Linked DNA regions of Canis lupus familiaris. The protein of the gene in region 1 purifies or fractionates together with the protein of each later gene. This does not show direct contact. Links are inferred from orthologs where the notes say so. Each region holds a gene or a part of one and is shown on either strand. Other genes may lie near its edges.

The links.
Region 2: the proteins of CDK2 (region 1) and CREBBP purify together in Homo sapiens (affinity purification with mass spectrometry; 3 studies listed by BioGRID and IntAct, counting the BioPlex papers as one, with this or other methods). This does not show direct contact. The link is inferred for Canis lupus familiaris from reciprocal best matches to the Homo sapiens genes CDK2 and CREBBP.

Annotation. Positions count from the first base shown.
Region 1 is NC_049231.1:650,214-655,941, forward strand, and holds the start of CDK2 (cyclin-dependent kinase 2), read left to right. Parts: upstream 1-2,300; 5' UTR 2,301-2,543; coding exon 2,544-2,659; intron 2,660-2,786; exon of another isoform or gene 2,787-2,932; intron 2,933-2,989; exon of another isoform or gene 2,990-3,193; coding exon of another isoform or gene 3,194-3,204; intron 3,205-3,374; coding exon 3,375-3,452; intron 3,453-3,555; coding exon 3,556-3,676; intron 3,677-4,362; coding exon 4,363-4,533; intron 4,534-5,029; coding exon 5,030-5,131; intron 5,132-5,728. Other genes in the region: melanocyte protein PMEL precursor, read right to left, coding at 1,473-1,548. UniProt on the Homo sapiens protein: Serine/threonine-protein kinase involved in the control of the cell cycle; essential for meiosis, but dispensable for mitosis. Phosphorylates CABLES1, CTNNB1, CDK2AP2, ERCC6, NBN, USP37, p53/TP53, NPM1, CDK7, RB1, BRCA2, MYC, NPAT, EZH2.
Region 2 is NC_049227.1:37,710,462-37,715,891, forward strand, and holds the start of CREBBP (CREB-binding protein), read left to right. Parts: upstream 1-1,909; 5' UTR 1,910-1,989; coding exon 1,990-2,074; intron 2,075-5,430. UniProt on the Homo sapiens protein: Acetylates histones, giving a specific tag for transcriptional activation. Mediates acetylation of histone H3 at 'Lys-18' and 'Lys-27' (H3K18ac and H3K27ac, respectively).

The sequences.
Region 1 (5,728 bases):
CAAAGGAGTTTGGCCTTTATTCTGTAGGCAAGGCCACGGCAGAAGATTGTTTCTTTCATTGAGATATAATTCATATACCATAAAATTCACCCTTCAGAAGCTTTTTGAATATGATGAGATGTGTGTTTTAGAAGGATCAGTATGGCAAGCAGTAAAGAGGATGGATCTATAGGCAGGCAGTGGTTGGGGCAAGCAGCCAAAATTATTATAACTGACTAAGAGAGAGGTCTAAGAAAAAGGGATATGATGGATCTACTTACACCTCACCCAGATGCAACAACTATCATTTTGCCACATTTGCTTTATCTATCCTCTTTTGTTTGTTGGCTAAAGTATTTAAAAGCAAATTCCAGATATTTTGTTATTTTAACCCTACAATCTCAATACGTATCTGTAAAAAAATATGAACATTTTCTTGAATAAGCACAATGTCACTTCCCCCTAGACAAAATGATCAAACCCAATTCGTATAAAGTTTCATCTAAAAATGTCTTCTTATGACTTAAAAAAATCATTATCCAAAAAGTAAGCACCATCTTTTAAGAGGCTCAGGTGCACAAGAATGAAAAGAATATTTCCAGAATACATTAAGGAAATAGTAAAAGGCTTGAAACTGGAGCACAAATGAGGGAAGTCAGATCAGGAAAATTTCCTAGAAGTCTGTGAGACCAGGGATCTAGAGAGAGAAAGGGGAGACTAGGATATGATATCTATATTTTAGCACAGGAGAAACTCCTTTTCAATGTGTAGTGGAGACCTAGCTGAGTCTGCTGAGGGCGGGGGGGTGGGGGGTAGATCTAGAATAATCTCACTGAGCATCCCACCGCTAAAGCAAGAGAATCATAAGATACCCCATTCTTCACTCCCAACCCTCCCTCCTCAGAGCAGCACGGGACATTCCAGACCCTCTCACCACCCCCACCCCCACCCCTTGCTCCCGTCACGAGGCCCCAATCCCCCAGAGCCCTTTCATGTGATGCTCAGCTGAGACCCCTCTGCCTGTCTCTTCCAGCCCCAGGACAAAAGCCTGAGCTATATTTACCCATCCCCATTCCAAAGAGGGGAGGTGATACCTCCTTACCTTTTCTATCCACATCAATACCACATTCTCTTACTCCTTTCTTTTAAATACCCTATCCCAAGTGCCTGAGTCATTCCCTAAGTCTTCCACTTATTTCCCTTTCAAAGCCCCTGCTCCAGCTCATTGCCCCGGGGGTGGGGTGGGGGTGTCTCAGAATTAGAGCCCCAAAGACCTACTATCCTTTTGCCCTTCCAAGCAGATGGGATTATTTTCAGGCTCAGTCCCAAATTTCCACCTAGAGAGGGACTTCAGATGCCCATGTCCTCGCTAAATCAAATGGGTGGAAGAAGCCTGAAATATTGCTGGTATCTCCCATGAGGAGGGAGAAAAATCAGAGCAGGTGTGCAACCCCAAACTCCCACTTGTTCATGTCCATACTCCCCACACTAACCTTCTGTGGCCCCCACAGCCAGAAGAACACCCATCACAGCCACATGGAGAAGGCATTTTCTCGGCACCAGATTCATCTTGTTCTTTCTTCCAGCAACCAAAGGCGCTGGGGGTGCTGGGACAAGCCCCTATATAGGAGAGGGGTGCTCATTTGCATAGCCCATCCTCCTTTCCCTCCTGGAGAGGCTTGGGAGGGGCAGGAGGGCCAGAGAAATAACTGAAAAGGGATCCTGGTCCCTGGACATCCCGCTACTCAATGACAGTTTCTGGTTTCACTGGGTCACGACCTTCTTGACCGGGGAAACATGGACTGCAGGGCAGCTAGCTACATCGTGTGTACTCGACGCCTGCAGTGCACCACAGGCTAAGGGGATCAATCTGGTTTTTGAGTCAAACCAGGAAACCTCTCAAACAGATGGAGACCCTGCATCTCCAAACAGAGAGATAGGATAGGATAGGCAGAGAGGGGCGCGAACGACGTGTCCAAGGCCCAGGACACCCATACGATGAGATTCCTAGCTTCCTGCTTTTCAAAGGCGGTTCCCTGGGCCAGGTGGAATTCAATCTTAGGGCAAGACACATTTTCTCTGGGGTTGGCGAATCAGAGGTCAGGAAATCCCTCCAGGCCCAGGACACAGGAAGGAAGCTCGACTCCAAATTGGGTACTTGGAAAAAGACGTTTATTTAGCTTCCCCAAGGTGACAAACTTGTATCGAAGACCCTCGGTAGTAACCTTGCGCGAGGTGGGGTCACTGGCGGCAGCGACGCGCTGGGCTCGCCCCCCCGCTCTGACGCTGGCCAATGGGAAGGGCCGGGGGCGGGGCCAGGGAAACGCGGGAAGGAGGGGCGGGGCCTCCACTGGCGGTAGGGAACCCGAGGGGAGGCGGCAACATTGTTTCAAGTTGGACAAATTGACAAGAGCGAGAGATACACTCCGTTCCATCCCGACCTGAGGCCGCGGAGCTGGGCCCTGTTTCCCCTCCTCCAGCCCCCGAGAGCCGGGGCCCGCCTTTTGCTGGGTTCCCAGGCCCCCGCTCCGGGGCCGGGCTGACCCGACTCTAGCGCTTGCTTCATGGAGAACTTCCAAAAAGTGGAAAAGATCGGAGAGGGCACGTACGGAGTTGTGTACAAAGCCAAAAACAAAGTGACGGGAGAAGTGGTGGCGCTTAAAAAAATCCGCCTGGACACGTGAGTGGCCTCTGTACCCGGGACTCCTCTAACTCCGGAGCTTCTTGAGTGCCCCCCGCCCCCACCCCGACAGGCGGGTAGCCGTCCGAGGACCGGAAGGTAGCAGGGTGGGACTTCTTTCGAAGTGGAGAGGTGGGCTGGAGGACAGTGAAGGGTTTCCCTGTGCAGAGTATAGGGCACTGTAGAGTCTGTGGGAAACTTTCTCCCCAAAGCCGAGTGATGCCCCCAAACGTGTAGTCCGAAAGACTCAGGAAGAGGAAGGAGGCCTCTGAGGTGGGGGTCCAAGACTCCCCGTGGAGTTGAGGTCTGTGGGAACCGGTGAAGAGCACCTTTCTGAATGAAGAGCCCTCCTCACTGCCCCAACCCCACCCTCCTCTTAGAATTCTCTACCCCTTTCAAAAGAATGGCAGTTGAACCTCACTGGCCCGTCTAGGGAGGCTGGGTGCTGCTACTCTTCTTTCCTCCCGTTACCTTCTCTCTTCTTCACCTCCACCAGAAGGCTTTACTTACCTACCCGTGGGAGAAGAAGAAATAATGACCTTAACGTATCCAAAAAGCACCCCCCTGTCCACCTGTGAATTAACTCCTACAGCCCCCTTTCTCTTCTGTCACTTTCCTAGGGTGTGCTGGGGTGGTGTCTCGTTCGGAGACTGGGCTGGGGGAAAAGCAGTATTTGTAACCACATTCCTCTCTCTGCTTTCTCAACCTCCCCAAGTGAGACGGAGGGTGTACCCAGTACTGCTATACGAGAGATCTCCCTGCTTAAGGAGCTTAACCACCCGAACATTGTCAAGTAAGTATGTGTCTGGGAGATATTTCAGCGGTAAAAGAGAATGTCTTCTGTGAGGCCGGGGCATCGCTCTTCCTCACCTCCATTCCTGGACCTCCCTCCCTAGGCTATTGGATGTCATCCACACAGAAAACAAACTCTACCTGGTTTTTGAATTTCTGCACCAGGATCTGAAGAAATTTATGGATGCTTCTGCTTTGACTGGCATTCCTCTTCCCCTCATCAAGGTAATCCTTCTCATCAACTCCTCCCCCAACATGGGCACGTTTTGGGGGGACTGAAGGCAGGCAATTCAGACTGGGTGATGATCTGTGATCTTAGCTTCCTTCCCAGCCCTCATCCCCCTACACACACACACACACACACACACACACACACACACACACACCTTTCTTTTGTGGCTCTTTCACTGCTCATTATGCTTATTAACCCCTGGGCAGGGCAGGAGAATCAAAGAAGTTGAAACTCTAGTGAGTCAACTTTGTAGCTCAGGTGGAAGGTCAGATGAAACTCAGATAAACGAGACTGGAGGGTACTTGGTACTTGGTAGATTCCTCCAAGAACCCCTTCCACTAGTTTGGTAGGAGAAATAGCCAGTGAGTCTCTGTTGTCTGTCTTAGGGCTGGGTTCTCTGCTCCCTGAGCTATTTTCAATCTATCAACAAACATTTATTCGGTGCTCATTTACTGAACACCTTCAATGTGCTAGGCACAGAATATGGAAAAGAGATGCAAAACTAAATAGGACCCAGTCCTTATCTTCACTAGACTAGCAGTCCAATGGGAGATACAGCTTATAAACATGCAATTATAATCTAATACAGTAAAAGGCTTTAGTACAGCTTTGCAGGCAGAGTGGAGCCTAATAGCTCACTGTGGTCGAGAAACAAAGTCCTCTCTCTCTCCTTCGTCAGAGCTATCTGTTCCAGCTGCTCCAGGGCCTAGCCTTCTGCCATTCTCATCGGGTTCTGCACCGAGACCTCAAACCTCAGAATCTGCTTATCAACGCAGAGGGGGCCATCAAGCTAGCAGACTTTGGATTAGCCAGAGCCTTTGGAGTCCCTGTTCGTACTTACACCCATGAGGTGAGACCCTGTCTGCACTTCTTCTCTGAACTTTCTGGGAGGTGTTAACAAGGACATTTACAAAATGACTAAACCTATCTGGCCAGCAGTTTCTCTCTCCCTAGATGAAAGTATCTCTGGCACCCCAGGAGGTTTTAGAGTATGCACTGAGTTCATATTGCGGGGCTAGCTGGGCTTCAGTAGGTACCAAGCCAGCAGAGCTGGATGGCATATCATTAAAATTATGACCACTTCTCTCAGGAGTTTTCCAGGAAGGTTGAAAGTTTTGGGTTCAGAAAATAGGGTCTTTGGAGCCACAGGCGAGGCTAACTCTGGTCTAAGAAGTTGTGTGTAATCACTTTACGCAGGGGAAGTCAGAAAGATGGGAAAAGAAAGATAGAGGGAGAGAAGCTGCTTGTGATCAGGCTGAGAACTAGCAGAGTAACACCGAGGAGCTGACATGTGGGAATCACTGTGCCCCATGCACCACCTCTCCCCTTCTTGCTCTTGTTCCCAGGTGGTGACCCTGTGGTACCGAGCACCTGAAATCCTTCTGGGCTGCAAGTACTACTCCACAGCCGTAGATATCTGGAGCTTGGGCTGCATCTTTGCTGAGATGGTATGGAGGCAAGCCCGAGTTCCACCCAGCTCTCTCCTCCCCACATTCAAAAACAACAGAACTTTTTCTTGGCCTAGACTCATGGCCCTTCTATTATCTAGGATCCTTTCTCTTAGAGTAGGACCAAAGCGGGTACGGGGGAAAGGATAGGACTATCGTCCCTGAGGTCAACTACAATGTCAGTATATCCTCAAATGGCCTTAGCATTAAATACACGTCTCTTGTCCCCAAATTGAGCTAAATCATTTCTGCAACTGTTTTAGCTTTAGTCTGCATATATTTGGGAGAATGAGTACCTACCATTCAGTGCCTCCTTCATTTGGCCTGTAGACCTTCTAGTAAGGTCCCAGGAATATGGTGAAATCAACTGTATTCATGTTATCCATTTATTTATTTATTTATTTATTTATTTATTTATTTATTTATCTATCTATCATACCTTTTATTTAAACTGCAGACTTAAATTATGTCCCCCTCAACTTCTGGCTTTTCTGAATGAAGGATCCCTGAGGTCCAGCCTTTTATGGGAGCTCTCATCCCCTTTAATATAACAGTGGAGTGGACTGTGTTTTCACTTCAAATCAGCAATTTGTTTTA
Region 2 (5,430 bases), on another chromosome or scaffold:
CAGTCTTTCCCCACTCCTCTGGGAGGCAGCTATTTGCTTTAGACAGAGTTCTCTCTCCTTTTTTCAGGAAGTTATCGCTTGGTGCTGCGTGGGTTGAAACGTGGAGCGCAAGAGACACAGGTGGGAAGCTGCCACCGGAGCCACTGGCGCGATGCGCGGCAACCCTGGGGCAGAGGGACCGCGAGGAACAGGTAAGGGACGTGGGGAGACTGCTGTGTGGGCAGCGCGGACTCGCTGGTTTCTGCCTTAGGACCCTGGAGACTCGGAGGTGAAGTGCTGGCAGGTCTGGGGAAGCAGCCCAGGCACGGAGACGTGGACACCTCGGCATTCCGTCTGTCCCACGGGGAGGTGGCCCCACACCTGCGGAGCCCCCGCAGGGTGCCAGGTGGCTGTCGGGGGCGGGGGGAGCGCTCCCGAGGCGCACTGATGGAAGGGGTCTTCCAGGCCGCGGTGCAGGGGAGGTCCCAGCCCGGGGAGGTCGCACCCACCACCTCCCGTGCAGGTGAGGCCGTCGCGCAGGCAGCCCCGACGCATCGGGCTGGGGGAACAGGGCATCTTGCGTCCCCCGCACTCCAGTTGGGGGGGGGGGGCTCGAGTCCCGATCCTGCCCCCTCCTGCCTCAGTTTCCCCCTCTGCACACACTCGCGGACGGTCTGCAACCTGCGGGAGCCCCGATGCGTCGCTGGCAACCGGTGAGGGGAGGCGGCCAGGCCCGGTCAACCGGGAGACGGTCGCGGGCAGGGACGCGAGGAACCGGGGACCGGGCAGAGTCGCCCAGCGGGACGGGCGGGCCCGGCCGGCGCCGACTCCACGCCCGGGGGCCCCGCTCGCCGCCAGGCCGCAGCCCTGGCCCTAGCCGCCCAGCGGCCAGCAGAACAAAAGTGGCTGCCGCGCGGGGCGCGGGGCGTCCCACAGGCGCGGCCGCTGCGCCGCCGGGGCAGCCCCGCCGCCCCACGCACGCCGGCCGCGCCTTCGGCCCCTTCCGCCCGAGCGCGCTCGGCTCTTTCCGCCGCGAACGGCGCAGGTGGAGGGGGCGGGGCGGGGGCCGTGCGTGGTGACGCCGCGGGGGGGGTGACGCACCGGCGTGCCCCGCCCCCTCCCCCTCCCCGTTCAGGCTCTGGAAAGAGAAGAAAAAAAACTTTCTTTTTTTTTTAATTGAGGAATCAACAGCCGCCATCTTGTCGCGGACCCGACCGGGGCTTCGAGCGCGATCTACTCGGCCCCCGCCGGTCCCGGGCCCCACAACCGCCCGCGCACCCCCGCTCCGCCCGGCCGGCCCGCTCCGCCCGGCCCTCGGTGCCCGCTCCGGCGGCCCCGCTCGCCTCTCGGCTCGGCCTCCCGGAGCCGCGGCGGCGGCGGCGGCGGCGGCAGGCGGCGGCGGCGGCGGCGGCGGCGGCGGAACGGGGGGTGGGGGGGGCCGCGGCGGCGGCGGCGGCGGCCCCGCTTCGCGCATTGTTTTTCCTCACGGCGGCGGCGGCGGCGGCGGGCCGCGGGCGGGGAGCGGAGCCCGGAGCCCCCCGGTCGTCGGGCCGCGAGCGAATTAATTAAGTGGGGCGCGGGGGGGGGGGGGGAGCGAGGCGGCGGCGCGGCGGCGGCGGCGGCACCATGTTCCCGGGGACTGCCTGAGCCGCCCGGCCGGGCGCCGTCGCTGCCAGCCGGGCCCGGGGGGGCGGCCGGGCCGCCGGGGCGCCCCCGCCGCGGAGTGTCGCGCTCGGGAGGCGGGCAGGGGATGAGGGGGCCGCGGCCGGCGGCGGCGGCGGCGGCGGCCGGGGGCGGGCGGTGAGCGCTGCGGGGCGCTGTTGCTGTGGCTGAGATTTGGCCGCCGCCTCCCCCACCCGGCCTGCGCCCTCCCTCTCCCTCGGCGCTCGCTCGCGGCTCGCGCTCGCTGCTCTCCCCTCGCAGCCGGCCGGGGCCGGCGCCGACCCCCGCCCCGGAGCTCTTGCCGGCCCGGCCGCCCGCGCTCGGGGCTGTTTCCGCGAGCAGGTGAAAATGGCCGAGAACTTGCTGGACGGACCGCCCAACCCCAAACGAGCCAAACTCAGCTCGCCCGGCTTCTCGGCGAATGACAGCACAGGTGAGGAGGGGGGGCCCGGGCGGGGGGCGGGGGCCCAGCCCGCAGGTTAGCGCCGGGGGGACCCGCCCCGAGGCGCCAGCCCGCGCGGCCGCTGCCCGGGGCCCCGCCGGCCCGGGCCGAGGGGGAAGTTTGTGGCCGGACGGCGCCGGGGCCCCGAGCGGGGGGCCAGCCCCGGAGTTGGGGAGCCCTCCGCGCGCGGAAGGCGAGCGGTACCTGCGGGGAGCACAAGGGGAGCGGAGCGCGCCGGGCTTCGTGGCGGTTCCGCGCGCCTCCCTGTGCGGCCGTGCGTCGGCTCACGCGGGGCTGCCTGGAGGGCTGACAGCGGAGGGTGGGCTTCCCGGTGACGGAGGGGAAAAGTGCAGCGAAGCGGGGGTGGGGGTGGGGGGACGACCCAAAGTCTTTTCTGAGCTGGTAGCACGATTCGCAGCGCTGCGATCCGGATCAGGACACACGCTCCACACACACAGCTCGCTCGTAGCAGCAGCCGACCTGGGAGTTGGGACTTTGGAAGTTTCTTGGGATGCGGTCCTTGGGAAGATGCTTTTCGCAGTTTGTCTTGAAAAAACTCTGGTTGTTGGGTCTACCCAAGGCCGTTCCGTTTGCACCAGCCCCAACTCGGTTAGCAAGATGTCATCCAAGTTGCTGTGCTGTGTTTAACTTCAGAGGCATGACCTTAAAAGAAAGTTTAGGTACAGCAGATCCTTTCGGGCTACATCCTCCGGCTTGAGTTGGTGGGGCTTTTACACTGTGGGTGTATTAAAGAAAATTATGTTAAGGAATGTAGGAATCGCAGGTCCCACCCACCACCACCACCCCCTCCAAAAAAAAATTTTTTTTTTTTTTTAGCCAGGTATTAAATGAAGCGTTCTTTCAAACAGCATCCATGAAAACTTTGTGAAGTAATCCCATCAGTTGCCTAAGTATTTTAGTTTCTATTCGTTTAATAACTCTGGGCTCTTCTGAGCTGGTTCACGGTAGCATTATGATCGAGTTGTATTTCCTCTTTCAGACCTCTCCTTTGCAGTAAAAACTTGTGCACCGCTGCGAACAGTTCTGTCTCCAGCGCAGCCTGCATTTCTCCAGTACGGTCTTGGTAGTAGCAGCATCTGAAAATCAGTTTATAATGAATGGGTCCAAATTGAATTATATTGCTGCAGCGATGCCTTCAGATTTGCAGTAGACACAGCTGTTCAGCTTGTGCAAATATTTCTGTGGCCACTGGCATATTTCTACTAATGGTCTAAAAAAATCTGTTTCTCCTGTTGAAACAAAACTACTTGGGTTTTGTGGCTTCGGTTTTAATACAATTTCAAGGATAGTAATGTAGGTGTGAGAGAAAGGATATTTTAAAATATCATGAGATTCTTATCTAGTTTAAATACAATTTGTTAAACGGTGGGGGGGGAGTAAATAAGTCTCATGGGGCAAAAAGTCACTAATACTTTTTTGTAATTGATAGAGTGGAGTGTGATGTTTATTTTGTCAAATCAGCTTGTCTGAAGTAAGAAATGTGGAAACAGCCATGACTTAGATGCCCTTTTACTATAGAACAGATCTCTTTTGCTTCATTAATCTTGCTATGTTTGAGTGAAAAGTCTTTAATCATATGAAACATAGATCATACCAGGCAAGTTCAGCTTTGAAGTTTGTCTTCTGAAACTGGTAACTTTTTGAATGGCTTTGCAGCTTTGCTCTTGTCAAATGAGGCTATTGCAGATTGTGTTTTCTATAGAGGGATAAATTACTAACACAAGACTTAACAGAAAGGGTTTTCCGAATATATACATTCAGCTGTTAACAAGGTGGAGCCTAGAGAATGGCCTTTTTGGGTAGTTCTGTTAATGGATGGTCAGATATTTACTTGATGCGCTGCTAAATCACAACAAATTTTTTCGGAAAGGATTTTTCCCTCTTGGCTACTTTTTCTCCCCTTTCTTTTCCAACGTTGATCCTCCTAAAGCATGAGGGCTCACTCTTTTCCAAATGGGGAACACAAATTTTTAATAGCTCTGATTTAAATAATAAAATTCATGATTATACTTATGTCAAGTCACCTTGGTTACGTTTTCATCACGTCACATTATTGGCCAGAGTCTATCAGTGCGGGGGCCAAGGAAGGATCGTCATCGAGCAAATTAAAGGAGGTACAACCTTGTCTTCTGTAACCAGTAGTCTGAGACAGAGATCCTAAGGATATATATTGAACAAATAAAGGACTCTAGGAATCACATTACGTCCAATCAAAGGAGTGAAGGCATTGGGGTAGGTGGGAAAGTAGGGAGAGACTCAACCTCGTTTAAGTGAGGGGATGTGTTTTTGAGGCTCCTGGAAGAAAAATGGAGCCAGGTGGAGCAAAGCGCGTTTTCTTTTTCCGTGATAATAGAATTTGAAGGGAGTTCTGTACATGGGAAGAGCTGAGAGGTTAGGAGGAGCAGGAGGCAGCCTGGTGGCCTGAGAAACGAGGGATTTGGACTGCTACCATGCAGCACATGTCTGTAGGGACTGGCCTGGGGAGCCATCGTGTCCGTTGCGTGAGTCTAAGGGACTGACATTGGGTGGAGAGAATAGTACTCCTGACATTGGGTAGCTAGCTCACAAGCCAGGGTGCTCCCCGCAGGGCACTTGCAGTCTAGTAAGGGGAGCGTGTATATAGCATGCCAGTGAGATTAGGTGGCATCTCTGAGTGATGAATGTCATTGCCACCGGTATCAGATTGTCAGACGGGAGAGGCTCTGAAGGCTGGGGAGGTCAGGGAAGTCTTCTGAACAGAGTATGCAGAGGGGATGCGGCACTAGAAAATGTGCCCCAAAGGAAGGTAGCAAGAGGAAGAAGGAGAAATAGTACTTTTGACCTCACCCACACCTCAGCTCTGGAGTGGCACTGGATTTCAACGTTGTGAGGTATTGTTTTACCTTGAGGGCTTAAATGCTTTCCTGTAAATGCAGTCTTCCTTCACTTGGCACCCATTATAAAAGGTAGGACTGTGTGTTTCCAATATATAGTTAGTTGTGTGTTTTGGAAACTTCTTTATTTAATATGTCCCGATTAAAACAGCATATTAGTGTTTTTCAAAAGCAGGGATTCATGACTTAACAGTGAAGGAGAAGTAAATATCCAAGCAAGCAGACTTTTTTTTTTGTCAGCTTTATTGAAGCCAGATTTACATACAACAAATAGACTGTTAAGTTTTTTAAGACTGTCTTCTGAAAATTGGAACCTACTTCATCCTATCCTGTTTGTGTCCCTAGCAGTTGTGATTATACTTCATAACATGGATCCCTTTAAATGCTATAGGAAACCATATTTAAAGAAAGTATGGGGTAAATATAGTTACCAACCAAAATGCCTTTCACAAC